Linked DNA regions of Arabidopsis thaliana. The main gene of each other region encodes a partner of the protein of the gene in region 3 in a complex. Each region holds a gene or a part of one and is shown on either strand. Other genes may lie near its edges.

Region 1 (5,622 bases), on a different chromosome or scaffold from region 3:
TTCTTGGACCATAAGGTTTAATCTGTGATAGCTCTGTTTTGATCCACTAAGGGAATCTGATGTCGAATGTTGTCTATTAGTCTCGTTTATGATTGAAAAGGACTTAGATTTTGAGTTTTGATTTGGTTTTGCAGGAGTGTTGTATATGTTTGGCAAAGTATAAAGACAAAGAAGAAGTAAGGAAGCTTCCATGTTCACATAAGTTTCACTCAAAGTGTGTAGATCAATGGCTTCGTATCATCTCTTGTTGTCCTCTCTGCAAACAAGATCTTCCAAGATGACAAAGCAAATACCCTAAAAGCAACAAAAGCTCAATATAATTTTTTTCTTTCTCAGTTTTTTTTTTTTTTAGTTTTGGATTGAAGCAAAGTCGATTACTTGTGTGAGTGTCAAATTTTTTGTACATAAAGAGCTCACCAGTAATCGTTATGTACATTGTGAGTAGATGATGCAAATCACAATGGCAACAACTTTATAGAATCTTAATATAGTGTTTATACTACATATTTTGTTTTTTCTCTCGTCTCATTTACATATCTTGATGTATATATTTTTTTATATGTTCAATTTTTTTTTTTGCAATTTAAAACTGAAAACCCAAACATTACTTCATTAACTATCAATTAGGATGTCGGTTTTCTTAAAAGAAATATTTTTATAGCATTAACTATATCTCATAAGTATAAAAGTTTTGGACATGGCATCTAAATAGTTGGAGTCTTTGAGATGGTTTTGACTTCAGCTATATAAGTAAGTCTTAGGGTGTTTAATTTAGAGTTTGAATTTTAAGCCTTTGAGTCTGTCAAAACCTAAAATAGGCACAAACCAAACAAAAACAATCAGATGTTTTTTTTTGGTTACAGAATCTTTAAATTAGACTGTTCTAGATTCTCAATTGGCACTAACACAACTAAGTATGTTCCTAATTGGTTGAAAAGTCATAATATTTGTCCTTGCACAAAATGTGTAAACCATAAAAAGAAGAATAAAACCTCCAAGTCAAATATTTTCTACTAATTTACAATAACTCTTTTCTAGAATACTAACCACCAATAACTTAAAAAAGCAGTTTGTCAACAACATCCAACGACTATTTTTAGCTGCCTTCTCTCACAAGTCACTATTATAAATGACCTTTTGGATTCATTAGCAAGAAACAACACAAATCATTCTTTACCTTCATAACAAAAGTCACTATAGAAATTACCTTTTGATTCATTAGCAAGAAACAACAACACAAATTCATTCTTATTTACGTTCGTCAAAACCATGACGAAAGAAAACCCTTCAACCCTAAATCTCGGACAACCTAAGGCACAAGAAAAGTATTCCACAAGTTTAGCCAAGATCAACCCTAAACCCTCCGGTAGCTCTACCGTTGAATCGAAGAGCCAAGACAATAACTCACCTAGTTTAAAACGTTGGAGATCGTCCTCCGGTAAATCTACGAGGCTAAATTGTTTATGTTCTCCGACGACACACGCCGGTTCTTTCAGGTGCAGGTATCACCGCGTTGATTCGTTGACACGTGCCGGGTCTATTGGGTCGAACCTCGCTGTTTTATTGTCGTCCAAGTCGAGCCGGTTTAGTGACTCCCTCAAGGCTCAGTAAACCCGGTTACTGGATTTGTTCGGTATAATAACTGTCGGTTTTGTTATTTGTTTGTTTCTTCTACTTCTTCTTTTGACATTGTTCAATAATTTTTATCGAAAAAGACATTGGTCTGTATTACTAAACCGCTTGAAATCGGCTTAACCCGATTCAAGGTAAACTTTTATCTAATTTTCACCAATTTGATTCAAATTTAAGCATTTATTACATACACATTTTATATGCTTCAAAAATACTTGAAATGAATTTTTCTGTCTACATTTTATATAAAGAAAATATAAAATAATTTTACGAAGTCAGAAATAATACGCAATATAATATATTTTTGCAAATTTATATATATTGTAAACGTTTTGATGATCACATTATTTTTAAAATTTCTGAAGATATAATTGAACTTATCATTTCGGGAGGTTCGATTTTATATGTTACTTGTCAAAAATTTAAAATTTGACAATAGAAAAAAATGGCTATATCACATATTATCTTTGATTTTGTATGATTATTTTGCATTTAACATCGTAAAAAATGTACTAATTTGAAGATTTTTTGAAAACTTAAATTCTCCAATAGCACAATAGATCATATATTCTATGGGTGAATGTGAAATTCAAATTTATGTCCGGTTCAATTCAGCTCGAGTTTTACTTAACCGGAACGAAAATCAAATCGAACCGTATTTTGAAGAATAAAACGACGACGATTTGAGCAGATTTTTCAGGATTTAATTTGTAATAATGCAAAAAGATTGAGTTTTTGTTGTTTGTTGAGATATTTAAAAAGATTCTTCAGGTTTTAATTTGTTTTCCAACTCTCTCCTCTGCTTTACAACAAATCGTCTCCGTCTTCCTCGCTCAGCTTCAACAACCAGAGCCGACTTGAGATTGAGAATCAACGTAATCGGTAAATTTTCGTATACGCAAATCCATTCTACTCATTTTGAGTTCACTTACATATCAAGATTCTTCTATCTCTGTTGAATCTGCGATTCACGAATCCATTAGGACGATTTTTGGGGATCTAGATCGGGTTTTGTTTCTCAGAACCTGTAATTGATTGTGTAATCCTTGAGTTCATTAATGTATAAATTCAAATTTCCCAATTTGGGTTTGTTTCTGATGGATTTTATTAATTTTGTGTGTCCATAAATTGTGATGTTTAAGATTAAAATTTGGTTAATGAGCTTTGATTAAGTCTTTAGATTCTCCATTAATTTTCTTATCTTCTTCAATATTGTATATATTATGTGGACATAACTGAATCATCTGAATAGTAAAATCATGATAATGACTTCAGTTTCTAAGCAATGTTTGTGTTGCCTATATTGACTGACTTATTTAGATTACTCTGAATTTTGCAACTTGTGTTACAGATACTCTCGCAAAGTCTCATCCTTTCTCAGCAAAAAACACTAGGAAATGGTTGAAAGGTACAGTGTTCTTCATATGCTTGCTTCTGTAGAGCTGTTTTTTGAAATTAGCAAAACAAGTTCACAATGTTTTATATGCAGGCATGGAGAGTTTTGATTTGCTGCTTAAGATATATCATGTCGCAGTGCGTTGACGGTATCAAGCATTTATGCACCTCTGTTTTAGGGTGTTTTGATCTTGATTTGTATAAACAATCTGGTGGCCTTGGAGATCCTGAATTGCTTGCAAGAGACACTGTTTGTATGCCCTATCACCTTCTCTACTCTTTTTTTTTTTTTTTTTTTCCGGTTATAAGATTCGATGCAATACCATTTGAGGAATGCAAAAATATTTCTTCTGAAGACTATTGATGATTGAATTTGGTTTTGGAATGCAGTTAGTGTGAGTGAAATAGAAGCTCTTTATGAGCTTTTTAAGAAAATCAGCAGTGCCGTGATTGATGATGGGCTAATAAACAAGGTATAACTCTAACTTGTTTGATCTTCTTCCTCATTTGGTAAAGCTTTAGTGATTGATCTAACAATCTGTCTAATTTACTCATCTCTTGTTTGTATCAGGAAGAGTTTCAGTTGGCTTTGTTTAAGACAAATAAAAAAGAGAGTTTGTTTGCAGATCGGGTAATGTTTCTTTCTTCACATTATAAGTGTTCTTAAACCCATTTTTGTCAAGATCAAGTTTAGAAGAAATGCTGAAATATGTGATTTTGTTTCTAGGTTTTCGATTTGTTTGATACAAAGCACAATGGAATACTGGGGTTTGAGGAATTTGCTCGTGCTCTCTCCGTCTTTCACCCAAATGCGCCTATAGATGACAAAATTCACTGTACGTCCCTTTTAGCTTGTATCTCAAAAACAAGATTGGGATAACACATTAATGATATATACTATTTTTTTGCAGTTTCATTTCAGCTATATGATCTTAAACAGCAAGGGTTTATCGAACGGCAAGAGGTAAAGCTTCCATATCTTCAAATAGCTTCATATATAACCTTGTAGAAGTGCGCTTTATTATCCTCACTGACATTTTCGTCCATCATTTGTCCAGGTGAAACAAATGGTTGTCGCTACGCTTGCTGAATCTGGAATGAATTTGAAGGATACTGTCATTGAGGATATAATCGACAAGGTAAGTTACTTACTTTTTTTCCTCTTCACCCTATATTTTTTCTTTGAAAGTAATTTCCCGAGTTTTGAATGTTTCAGACGTTTGAGGAAGCAGACACAAAACACGATGGAAAGATCGATAAGGAAGAGTGGAGAAGCCTTGTTCTTAGACATCCCAGCCTTCTGAAGAACATGACTCTTCAATATCTCAAGTGAGTTCCAAATCTTTCTATTTATATAACCAGGATTGAATCTATTCAACCAAATTCCTTCTCTGGTTTCTCTTTCTTCTATTCTCCATGATATGTAATAAAGGTCGTGATCCTGTTGTGTGCTTGCTCTGCAGGGATATCACGACTACGTTTCCAAGCTTTGTGTTCCATTCTCAGGTTGAAGATACCTGAAAAAGCAAAAGCAAAAGCAAGCAGCGGCAAGACATCATTGTATTGTTGAAGGTTGTTCTTTCGTTATGGTTCTTTATTTGTTACATTTCTAAATCTCTGAACTCATTTTATTTTTTATTGAGCTTTTTTTGTGAAGCAAAATTCTTCTTTTTAGTTTGGTTTTTGTCCTTTTTGATTTCGCTCGGTCTATCTGTAGATACAACTTTTGCATCTTGATGTTATGGTAATGTAAAGTTTTTCAGTTTATTTATTAATCCAATTAAAAAGATTTGCTTCAATCTCTGTGTTTTGGTTATTAGAGTTAGCTTTTAATATTAATTCAATGGATTTCTAGATTGCAAGCAAAACTAGTCATTTCATATGTGACTTGTAAGCAAAACTAGTCAAAACTGAGTGATGTCACCAGCCCTCCTAATGACGAGTTTTCCGAGATCAGCTCCACAAGAATCAACTTACATGATGACAAAAAGTGGATCTTCGATGAGACGCCATTAGAGAGAAGAGGAGATGATCTTACCAACAAGGGTATACGAAAGCAGAGCTTCGGGGGATGGTTGAGAAGCAGAGACATGAATAATGTTCTTCCAAAAAGAAGAAGAGGTGAGAAAAGGGAAAAAAAACCTAATTGAAGAATTAGCGATTTTCCCTCACCAAGAACCCTACATTAATACAAAAGGAAGTGACTTGCCAATCAAGTTTCCCATCCATTGTAGATGAGGGGAACATTGTGTTTGTAGTAAGGCAATGGAAGAATGACTCATTTATGCTTCAATGACTTCCATGTTCTTTCTTGAGGAGAAGGAAGACCATTCTTCTTGTTTTGCTACACAAGACTGAAATAAGAAACCTCTTCTAAAAGTTCTTCACGCTCCATGTAGACTATCTCTTTCTCCAAGGAGCGCTTTTCATTTAGAAAAAGCAACTTTTACTCTTCATCTTATCTTCGGCCATACTAGACGCAAACTCAACTTCAAGATCAAACAGTGCTTCTAAAGCCAACTCAACTCAATAGCCATACTTCATGCCGTCTCTTCAGCTTTTTTATCTTTCAAAGGAATATTTCATTAATATGAT
Region 2 (4,822 bases), on a different chromosome or scaffold from region 3:
TTGTGAATTAATCAAAACCGCACTTCATCAACCAACCAACCAACCTCCAAAGAATTTGGGCTTCAGTACTAACGTCCTTTAAGGGTGTAACACATTACTGCTCTGCTCTTATTGCCGCAACTAATTTGACTCAATTTTAAGTACAAAATGGACCATTAAACTGTTGTCACTTGTCAGGACCACCGGCCCAAAATTAGTAGGGACCTTAGGACAGTTTGATATTAGTCTTTTAGTAAAAAAAAAGTTTTTTTTGTTTATCTATAAGAAAATACAATATTTTTTTAATAGATCTTAATTTTCTAAAATATCAACAGTCTATGTTTATTTTTGTGTCTGATTTAAAAAAAATTAGTTAGTTATCAAAACTTAAAACAAAAATATTAGGTCCAGGACTTTGGCATCTCCCACTTTCTTGAAAAACATGGATACTGTATGGACCTTCTTGTTTACTATTGTCATAATCTTTTTTCTCATAATCTTTTTACTATACTCATAATCTCTCCTCCTCATAATACATCTCCCACTTTCTTAACACCTCATAAGTCTTCTCATAATCTTTTTACTATCATAAAAGTTTCTGCTTGTATTGGAATGAAAGAATTTGACCATTTAATTTGGAATTCTAAACCCAATATAAAATTATAAACCACTCTTACTAGAGCCAGGATCCCAGTTTCAAATTTAATATACGTAACATGCATGATTTGGCCATGTCTTATGGATATGCTAATCCATTTCTTTTTTTTAGGCGAACATTATATAGTTTACATTATTGGATTGTTGGATGGCGTACGTACTTAATTAGTTTCAAAATTTGATAATATACATGATTAGATCATGTCTTATGGTTTATATAAAAGTAATTATGTTAATCCATAATTCTTATTTAGACCGCCTTTATACTATTGGATTTTTGTTTGTCCTACGTGATTGATTAGACTACTAAAATGTGACCAGAATTATTATAATTCTTCGTTTATCCCAAAAGGTATATGACCCATATTGAAATTATTATCAAACACACTCTACATGAATCTTGAATATATAGATAAATACAGTAATTAGTCCCCTTGCTAGTTGGGTTATCATATTAATATTTATTTATTGCAAGATCTTGAAGACTATGAGATCTTGACATCTGTATGGATTATGAAAATGAAAGATCCAATTTGAAAATTATATCTTATACAAATAAATATCATTCTTAGTATCTTTTGAGTATGTTAAATCTTGACTCTACAAGTACTAGTTACCTCTCTACACTTTTTTTTTCTTACAGTTATAAACTTACATAAAAACAAAATTCGAGTCTAAATATTTTTCTTTTAATAAAAAAACAAAAACAAAACAAAATCATTGCAGAATTGTAAGAAAACTTGTAAAAATGATTAACTTTCTTAACCAATAAAAAAGGAAAGTTGAAAGTTGAAATTTCGAAACTAAAATGTCAAACAACAATAATGGCTTTGTTTTCTTCCCACACTGTAATAAAAATAAAATAAAAATGGGGTTGGTAGAAAAAAAGAGGTAAAAATGACAAGGATGTGTTTCACACGCGTTCAGACCCTCACACGTGCGACGATCATGTTATAAACAAACTCTCTCATAATTTCCCCAATCGGAGGCCTCTGACGAACAAAAAAAGCCCAGCAAAGTCTGAAGTTAATCTCAGCCGTCCGATCAATTCATCTACCATCGTGGTCAGAGATCTTCTTCTTCGTCTCTCTCTCGTTTCTCAAAAATCAAAATCCCTTCCTCTCTCTCTCTCACCGAGCCGGCGAGCCCGTTCTCTCGGTGGTAAGTGCTCAATTTTTCGATTTCACCATTCAGTTTCTGGGTTCGGAGATTCTCGAGCCGCTCCTACATTACCTGTTTAATTTCCGATTTAATATTCAAAATTTTGTTAATCTGAATTCGATTGCCACATAGCTGCTGCTTATTTTTTCTAGGGTTTATACTTATTCAATTATCGTGTTCGTCTTTTAATTCAATTTTTGTTGGGTTTTGTTTTTGATTGAATCATTGTAGTTTTTAAAGATGCTTATGATGATGATGGGGAGTGAGTAATATCAGAAATCAAGCTTTTTCACAATCTCAGAAATTGTAGTAGAGTTTGGCGATTTTATCAACCTCCGGAACAAGCTTCTTCTTCTTCGTTTTACTCTTGTCATCCGTAAATGGGTTGTTTCCATTCCACGGCTGCCAGAGAATTTCCCGATCACGAAAACCCTGTGAAGCTTGCTTCTGAGACTGCTTGTAAGTTTACTTGCACTATACGTTTCGTTTTCTCTTCTTTGCTTTATTCTCAAAGAGCATGAGCATAAAGATCTCTCTTTTATCAATTGTTAACTGATATGAGAATCTGTTTTCGCCATTTATTGAATCCGAAAAATGGTTCTTTCATTCATAATCTATTTGATCTACAACTTTGTTAAATGATGCTTGTTGTTACTTAAGTCATCACATAAACCTATTTCAATAGTTTCTTGGATCATTAGTGTAGTTTACTTCTACTTTCAAATGGAATCTTAATCAGAGAAAGTTTTCAAGAACCATCACTTTCGATTTTTGTTTTGGTGATATACATGATGTTGATGAGAAATCTCGCAGTGTGGCTAATTATTTGTTTGTTTTTCTAGTTAGTGTTAGTGAAGTTGAAGCATTGTATGAATTGTTCAAGAGCATAAGCAGCTCGGTTGTTGACGATGGCTTGATAAACAAGGTAATGATAAATCTCATAGCCCTTTGATTATTTCGCACCTCATGGGAGAATCTTGAATGCGTGATGTACAGTGACATAATAATATTCATTGCACCATTATCCATATTCCGTATTATTTGTCAACTTTCTTGACTTTCACAAATTTATTATTGAATCTCCATGCTGAGCTGTGGGCTCCTTATTGCTCACCAAGTCTCTGTGTTGATGATAGTTGACTTGAATTTTAATTCCATTTTTTATATTGGTTTGCTTATAAAAATTGATGTTTTCTTGGCCCACTCTTGGATATTGTTACTTATTTTCTCGACCAACTTGTTATGCAGGAAGAGTTTCAACTTGCTTTGTTCAAGAACAGAAAGAAAGAAAATTTGTTTGCCAATAGGGTAAATTCTAAGTTTCTTTGGCCTTAGTAACTTTGTAGTTAGTCGTAACGATTAGTTCTATTATAAGTAGTTAATGGTAATGCTCTTTTTTCCAGATATTTGATTTATTTGATGTTAAACGAAAAGGCGTAATTGATTTTGGAGACTTTGTGAGATCACTCAATGTTTTCCATCCTAATGCTTCCCTAGAGGAGAAAACAGACTGTAAGTTGACCCATAAACGAGTTTATATCCATCGTCGTTTCTCTAAAGCCTTGCTGTACTTTTATTCATGTTATTCTGTATTTCATATATCAGTTACCTTTAGGCTTTACGACATGGACTGCACAGGCTTCATTGAGCGCCAAGAGGTAAACAATGGTCCTATATCTTCACATTCCATTCCCAAACAATCTATGTTTCAAAGACTTTCAGTATTATGGATTCTGCATCATCTATAAGTAATCATAATTGTGTATGCGTTTTTGGCAGGTGAAGCAGATGTTGATTGCACTTCTCTGCGAATCTGAAATGAAACTGGCTGATGATACAATAGAGATGATACTTGATCAGGTTTACTTGTTGTCTATTACAAGTTTGTTTTCTGTCAAAAGAAAGACTGTTTTATGAAACTCGAGTTTTTTTTTCTTTTCGTGAACAGACATTTGAGGACGCAGATGTGGATCGGGATGGAAAGATTGATAAGACAGAATGGAGCAATTTCGTTATCAAAAACCCATCTTTGCTTAAAATCATGACTCTTCCGTATCTCAGGTATGTCTCCTTACTATGATACTTCCATCTATTTGGCCAGTTTTGGTGCCATTTTCCAAGTTTGAGGACTTAAAAACTCAATTTTAGGGATATAACGACGACATTTCCGAGTTTCGTATTTAACTCGGAGGTGGACGAGATTGCGACGTGAAAGAGACAAGACAAGCTGGTTTATAGAGACCAAGTCGTAGGCTGGACCAAGAATAAAAAGAAGATTGATTCCAACAATGTTATATAGCAGGATCGAGCTCTATTTCCTTTGGAATTTTTAGTCTATTGGATTTCAATTTCATGTATTGCGATTACTTTTGGCTCTCTTTCTTTAACAGTTTTGAATACTCAAGTTGTAGTTCTACGAAAAGATTAATATAAAACCACAATTTCTGATTAAAGATTTGATTTTGCTCATAAATTATTCCAACACTTTATGTTTTATGTAACGAGAAATCAAAGTCAAATATGCTTAGACAGAAGAAATTAGCCATATAAATCAATTTATTATTATTAAGGGAATTGAAAACTTCAAAAATACCAAAATGAAACTAAAATTATAATCAAACCAGACCTGAATTTATTGTAACCGATAAATCCGAATTGACGTGTGTGGTGCCGGCTTTGAGATGAAGACAGACCAATGATGATCCCAGTAGCTAAAGAACTCAAGCGGATTCAGACATTCCATGCTGTGGAGTGATTCTCTCTAATCCCCCTGTACGGCGACGCTTTTACATATCCTCCATGTTCTTTGACTACAAAAGCCAAGTTTGAGGATCATTTAGTTGAAACTCAAGAGTTCAGACAAGAATCATTTGTATGAAACTCAAGAGTTGATACCAAAAAGAAATTTCTCACGGAAGATGACACTTCCCCTGGCACAATCTAGATGAGCGTGATAGTGGGACGTTGTCCATATCTAAAAAAAGAAAAATGGCATGGTATAGAGAATCCCGGAAATACGGAGAAG
Region 3 (4,607 bases):
TTGTAATTGACATTTTCAAATGTATATCACTAATTTTTATCTTAACCTGGTTTGAATAGTTGAAATTAATGGTTGAACTGTGATTCAAAACTTTTTTCAGTTTTGTGATTAATCCAGTTTTTTTTTTTTTTTTTTATGTAATATGTTATTAACATTTTGAAAAGTATATGGAACGACTTATTTGTTGGGCATAACAACTTAATAAAATAGCATATCTAATATTTCCTCTTAAAATGGAACGATTTAAAACAAAAACAAAAAAAATCTTCTCAAAACTCATTAGCTAATTGATTGATTGTAGTAATATAGAGAATCTTCAGCAAACCAAACTTTAGTTATTTACGGACCACATGATAATTATCATATCTATGAATGTTTTTAATTTATATATTCTTGCTACAACATCCGTTTCAAAAATTATAGCCTCAAAATAAACAAGAAAAACTTCACAGTTTATCTACCATCTTCGTGTATAAAAACAAAGAAATGAAGTAGAAAACCCTAGAATCTACACTCACATAATGGTCCACAAGGACCACAACGAATGAAAACAATTGAACACAAATTATAGTAAAGAATCATGGAATCTATGGAAAATTATCAGACCCTACATTAAGACACAACTATTTTCTTTATAAACCTTATGAATTTTTGTAGATACAGAACTTGATTCATTGTATATAATTATGCTATTTCCCTCAATTATCCATATGCATAATGCAATGCAAATGGGTAAGTAGTCAGTTAAACTAAGGGCTTGATTGGTTCTCCCTCTGCCACCCGCAAACGCAGCGTTTGCGGGTGGTAGCGGTTGTTAGCGATTGGCACCAATCATATAAACCGCTAGATATCGCTTTGGACCGCTCGAAATCGCCAGATTTCAAAAGCTCCTTCCCGCAAGCGTTTGCGGTTGCGGGCGGTAGCGGTTAGGTTAAAAAAAAAATTATTTTTATAATTAATTAAAATAATTATATTTTCCACCCAAACCCTATATATCTTATTCTTATTAGAAAACTCTAATAATTAATATATTGTAACTCTATTCTCTCAATTATGGCATCCACCCAAACGGATAAAAATTAAAATCAAAATCAATAATCAAAAGTAAGTATCATATATTCGTTCATCCATTCACGACCAGTTTGATTTTTTTTTGAGTTGGAGATGTGTTATAAATCGTTTGGATATCTTGAAGAAACTTTATTATATGTATAGAGGCAATCTGGAAAATCCGCGAGTTCAACGTTATTTACAGTTTATCACACTATTTGATGTAATTTTTGGTGATGTACCAAATGCATAAAGTATTAAGCTTTTTCTTGCAAAATTTATTTATTTTTGAATTTAATGTTTTATTTACGGTTTTAATTTTTAATTATATTTAATTTTTCTAATATTATGAATTTATCATAATAATATATTATATTTTTCTTTCTTTTAATAGTAATATATTATATTTATTTTGGTTTATTTTTGTTTAATTACTATCACACCCGCTGGTTTACCAGTCATAAAACTCCCGCAAACGCACCCATTATCAAACGTTCAACCAGTCGTTCAAAACGTTTGATAACGCTTGAAACTGCAACCGCCAGTTTCCGCAAACTTCCGCAACCATAACCGCACCCGCTGCATTTTAATCCGTCAGGCCCTAAAAAAATTAATCACTAGGCCGTTAATCCCTATCCGTAATACGAAACACTAGAGGGATAGAATAGTAAATCGCATCGTGACCGGTCATAAAAAGACACGTGTCGTCATCGCTATCCAAATAATTGACAAACTCGAAGCCGCCAAGGGATTGCCGAAGACACATGTCAGTCAGCGAAAGGAGGTTAAACGGTGTAGTTATCACTCCCTAATAAGGGTATCTACGTAATTGCAATGTCGTTAAGATCTATATAAACACTACTCTTTTGCTAGCTCTTATCCGACGGCAAAAGGAGAATTAAGATTTTTAACTTTAAACGAGAGTTTCGTTTATTTACTCAAAAATTTACTTCTGAAATCTCTATTTGAATTTCGGGGAAAAAAATCCTAAGTAAGGGAATGCAGAGAGATGGTCGGAGTATCGCCGGTGAAGACTAAGCTGTGTGATCGGTTTAACCGATCCGTCGGCGGCAGGAATTGCCACCGGAAACACGTCGAGGACGGGTGATCCAGTTTTCTAAACTCTCGTCTCTCGAATTCTTCGAAGATATCGAAAAACTGTAAATCTTTTTTTTCTTCTACTTTTTTACAAAATTCTCTAATCATCGTTGTAAAGTAAAAAACCATGGTCGGAGCAAAACCGGTGGAGAATGGATCTGACGGTGGTAGTAGTACGGGGCTGCTTCACGGCCGTTACGAGCTAGGGCGTCTTCTAGGTCACGGAACATTCGCGAAGGTGTACCACGCTCGTAACATACAAACCGGAAAAAGCGTGGCGATGAAAGTCGTCGGAAAAGAGAAAGTGGTGAAAGTTGGTATGGTTGATCAGATCAAACGAGAGATCTCTGTGATGAGGATGGTGAAACATCCAAACATCGTCGAGCTTCACGAAGTCATGGCGAGTAAATCCAAGATCTATTTCGCCATGGAGCTTGTACGAGGCGGTGAGTTATTCGCTAAGGTGGCTAAAGGAAGACTACGTGAAGACGTAGCTCGTGTTTATTTCCAGCAATTGATCTCAGCCGTTGATTTCTGTCATAGCCGTGGTGTTTATCACCGAGATCTGAAACCGGAGAATCTCTTGTTAGATGAAGAAGGTAATCTCAAGGTGACTGATTTTGGTCTCTCTGCTTTCACTGAGCATTTGAAACAAGACGGACTTCTTCATACAACTTGTGGAACTCCGGCTTATGTTGCGCCGGAGGTTATATTGAAGAAAGGATACGACGGAGCTAAGGCGGATCTGTGGTCTTGTGGTGTTATACTTTTTGTGCTTCTTGCTGGTTATTTGCCGTTTCAAGATGATAATCTTGTGAATATGTATAGGAAGATTTACAGAGGAGATTTCAAATGTCCTGGTTGGCTTTCTTCTGATGCTAGACGGCTTGTGACTAAGCTTCTTGATCCGAATCCGAATACGAGGATTACTATTGAGAAGGTTATGGATTCGCCTTGGTTCAAGAAACAAGCAACGAGATCAAGAAACGAACCAGTGGCTGCCACAATCACAACCACGGAAGAGGATGTTGATTTCTTGGTGCACAAGTCGAAGGAAGAGACGGAGACGTTAAACGCGTTTCATATAATCGCGTTATCGGAAGGGTTTGATTTGTCGCCGTTGTTTGAGGAGAAGAAGAAAGAGGAGAAAAGAGAGATGAGATTCGCGACGTCTCGGCCAGCGAGTAGCGTGATTTCGAGTTTGGAAGAAGCGGCGAGAGTTGGGAATAAGTTTGATGTGAGGAAGAGTGAGAGTAGAGTAAGGATTGAAGGTAAACAGAATGGTCGGAAAGGGAAATTGGCGGTGGAAGCGGAGATATTCGCGGTGGCTCCGTCGTTTGTTGTCGTGGAAGTGAAGAAAGATCATGGAGATACGCTTGAGTACAACAACTTCTGCAGTACTGCTCTTAGACCAGCTCTCAAGGACATTTTCTGGACCTCTACACCTGCTTGAATTTGATGAATTCTTGCGTGTTTCAAATTTTTATGTTGTAATATATATTGTTGGATTCTAGATTCGATTCGTGATTCTTGTTTTTGATTCTTAATGTGGTATCATAGTTTGGATCGTTCAAAAAGTTGTAAGTCTTTTGTGTGTGTTTGAGTCGTGGCCGATATGTTGCGTCACGAAGCAGAGAATGTTGTGTGTGGTGTAGAATGGTGTGTTAAAGATTCCATCATCAACAAATAATAATCATGACTCTTTTAAGAATGTTAAAGAGTCAATTTTTATGCATTCATTCTCATCAAATGTCTTTTTTTTTTTTTTTGCACGTCTCTTCTTACCTTGGATTGATTAGGACATCATCTTTGTTTATGCTGGTCCAATTTGTAGTGTCGTGTTGAATCATGTATATACTCTTCAAGATTCATGTGACTATTGTATTAACACAAGTACTTAAAAAAATTCTGCGTTTTTACTTTATTGAGTCGTTTAGCTTATGCGTTTTAAATTGGTAAGATGAGTAGTAGAATCATCAAGTTAATTCAGTCGCTAGCGATGATAGAGGGCTTGTGGAGTAAGTCGAGTTAGTAAAATCTGTCATATAACAATAGGGATATGATTAGCACAAATGTGACGACGATTGTATGATTAGTGATCAGAGTTTTTTTTTTTTTTTGAATAAAATGATCGTGACAAGTATTCATTGATTTGTTGATTATAAATAATAGTGGAGTAGATGGATTCAGATGAGTGAATAGAATATGAAAAGTAAAAGGAAGATGAGGTGGGCAGCAAAACAAAAGTAGAAGTTACGTGATTGGGATGGATGTTTCATGAACCCGATTAATATTATATTAGTATATATCTCTCTTTTTAATAGAATTCTTAGTATAATCATATCAAACATGTGATTCATTAACGGAGATGCAAACACCAACCCATGATCTGTAACATAAAAAACGAAAAATGAATAACCATCTTTTACTGCCACAACGTTGAAACTGTGAAGGGTTCT

What was found.
Region 1: SIP3 (region 3) and CBL2 share a complex: the UniProt entries of both Arabidopsis thaliana proteins name them as parts of the K(+)-channel calcium-sensing kinase/phosphatase complex.
Region 2: SIP3 (region 3) and CBL9 share a complex: the UniProt entries of both Arabidopsis thaliana proteins name them as parts of the K(+)-channel calcium-sensing kinase/phosphatase complex.

What each region holds. Positions count from the first base shown.
Region 1 is NC_003076.8:22,669,032-22,674,653, forward strand, and holds CBL2 (calcineurin B-like protein 2), read left to right. Parts: upstream 1-2,081; 5' UTR 2,082-2,514; intron 2,515-2,983; 5' UTR 2,984-3,040; intron 3,041-3,121; 5' UTR 3,122-3,157; coding exon 3,158-3,281; intron 3,282-3,417; coding exon 3,418-3,500; intron 3,501-3,598; coding exon 3,599-3,658; intron 3,659-3,754; coding exon 3,755-3,863; intron 3,864-3,938; coding exon 3,939-3,991; intron 3,992-4,085; coding exon 4,086-4,166; intron 4,167-4,243; coding exon 4,244-4,356; intron 4,357-4,490; coding exon 4,491-4,548; 3' UTR 4,549-4,599; exon of another isoform or gene 4,600-4,824; intron 4,825-4,882; 3' UTR 4,883-5,069; downstream 5,070-5,622. Other genes in the region: AT5G55970 (RING/U-box superfamily protein), read left to right, coding at 135-281; AT5G55980 (serine-rich protein-like protein), read left to right, coding at 1,270-1,611. UniProt on the Arabidopsis thaliana protein: Acts as a calcium sensor. CBL proteins interact with CIPK serine-threonine protein kinases. Binding of a CBL protein to the regulatory NAF domain of a CIPK protein lead to the activation of the kinase in a calcium-dependent manner.
Region 2 is NC_003076.8:19,129,083-19,133,904, reverse strand, and holds CBL9 (calcineurin B-like protein 9), read left to right. Parts: upstream 1-1,600; 5' UTR 1,601-1,797; intron 1,798-2,028; 5' UTR 2,029-2,177; coding exon 2,178-2,256; intron 2,257-2,639; coding exon 2,640-2,722; intron 2,723-3,045; coding exon 3,046-3,105; intron 3,106-3,200; coding exon 3,201-3,309; intron 3,310-3,402; coding exon 3,403-3,455; intron 3,456-3,576; coding exon 3,577-3,657; coding exon of another isoform or gene 3,658-3,714; exon of another isoform or gene 3,715-3,745; coding exon 3,746-3,858; intron 3,859-3,945; coding exon 3,946-4,009; 3' UTR 4,010-4,265; downstream 4,266-4,822. UniProt on the Arabidopsis thaliana protein: Acts as a calcium sensor involved in abscisic acid (ABA) signaling and stress-induced ABA biosynthesis pathways. Contributes to the regulation of early stress-related CBF/DREB transcription factors.
Region 3 is NC_003075.7:15,065,125-15,069,731, forward strand, and holds SIP3 (SOS3-interacting protein 3), read left to right. Parts: upstream 1-1,903; 5' UTR 1,904-2,275; coding exon 2,276-3,601; 3' UTR 3,602-4,059; downstream 4,060-4,607. Other genes in the region: AT4G30970 (uncharacterized protein), read right to left, coding at 4,142-4,186. UniProt on the Arabidopsis thaliana protein: CIPK serine-threonine protein kinases interact with CBL proteins. Binding of a CBL protein to the regulatory NAF domain of CIPK protein lead to the activation of the kinase in a calcium-dependent manner.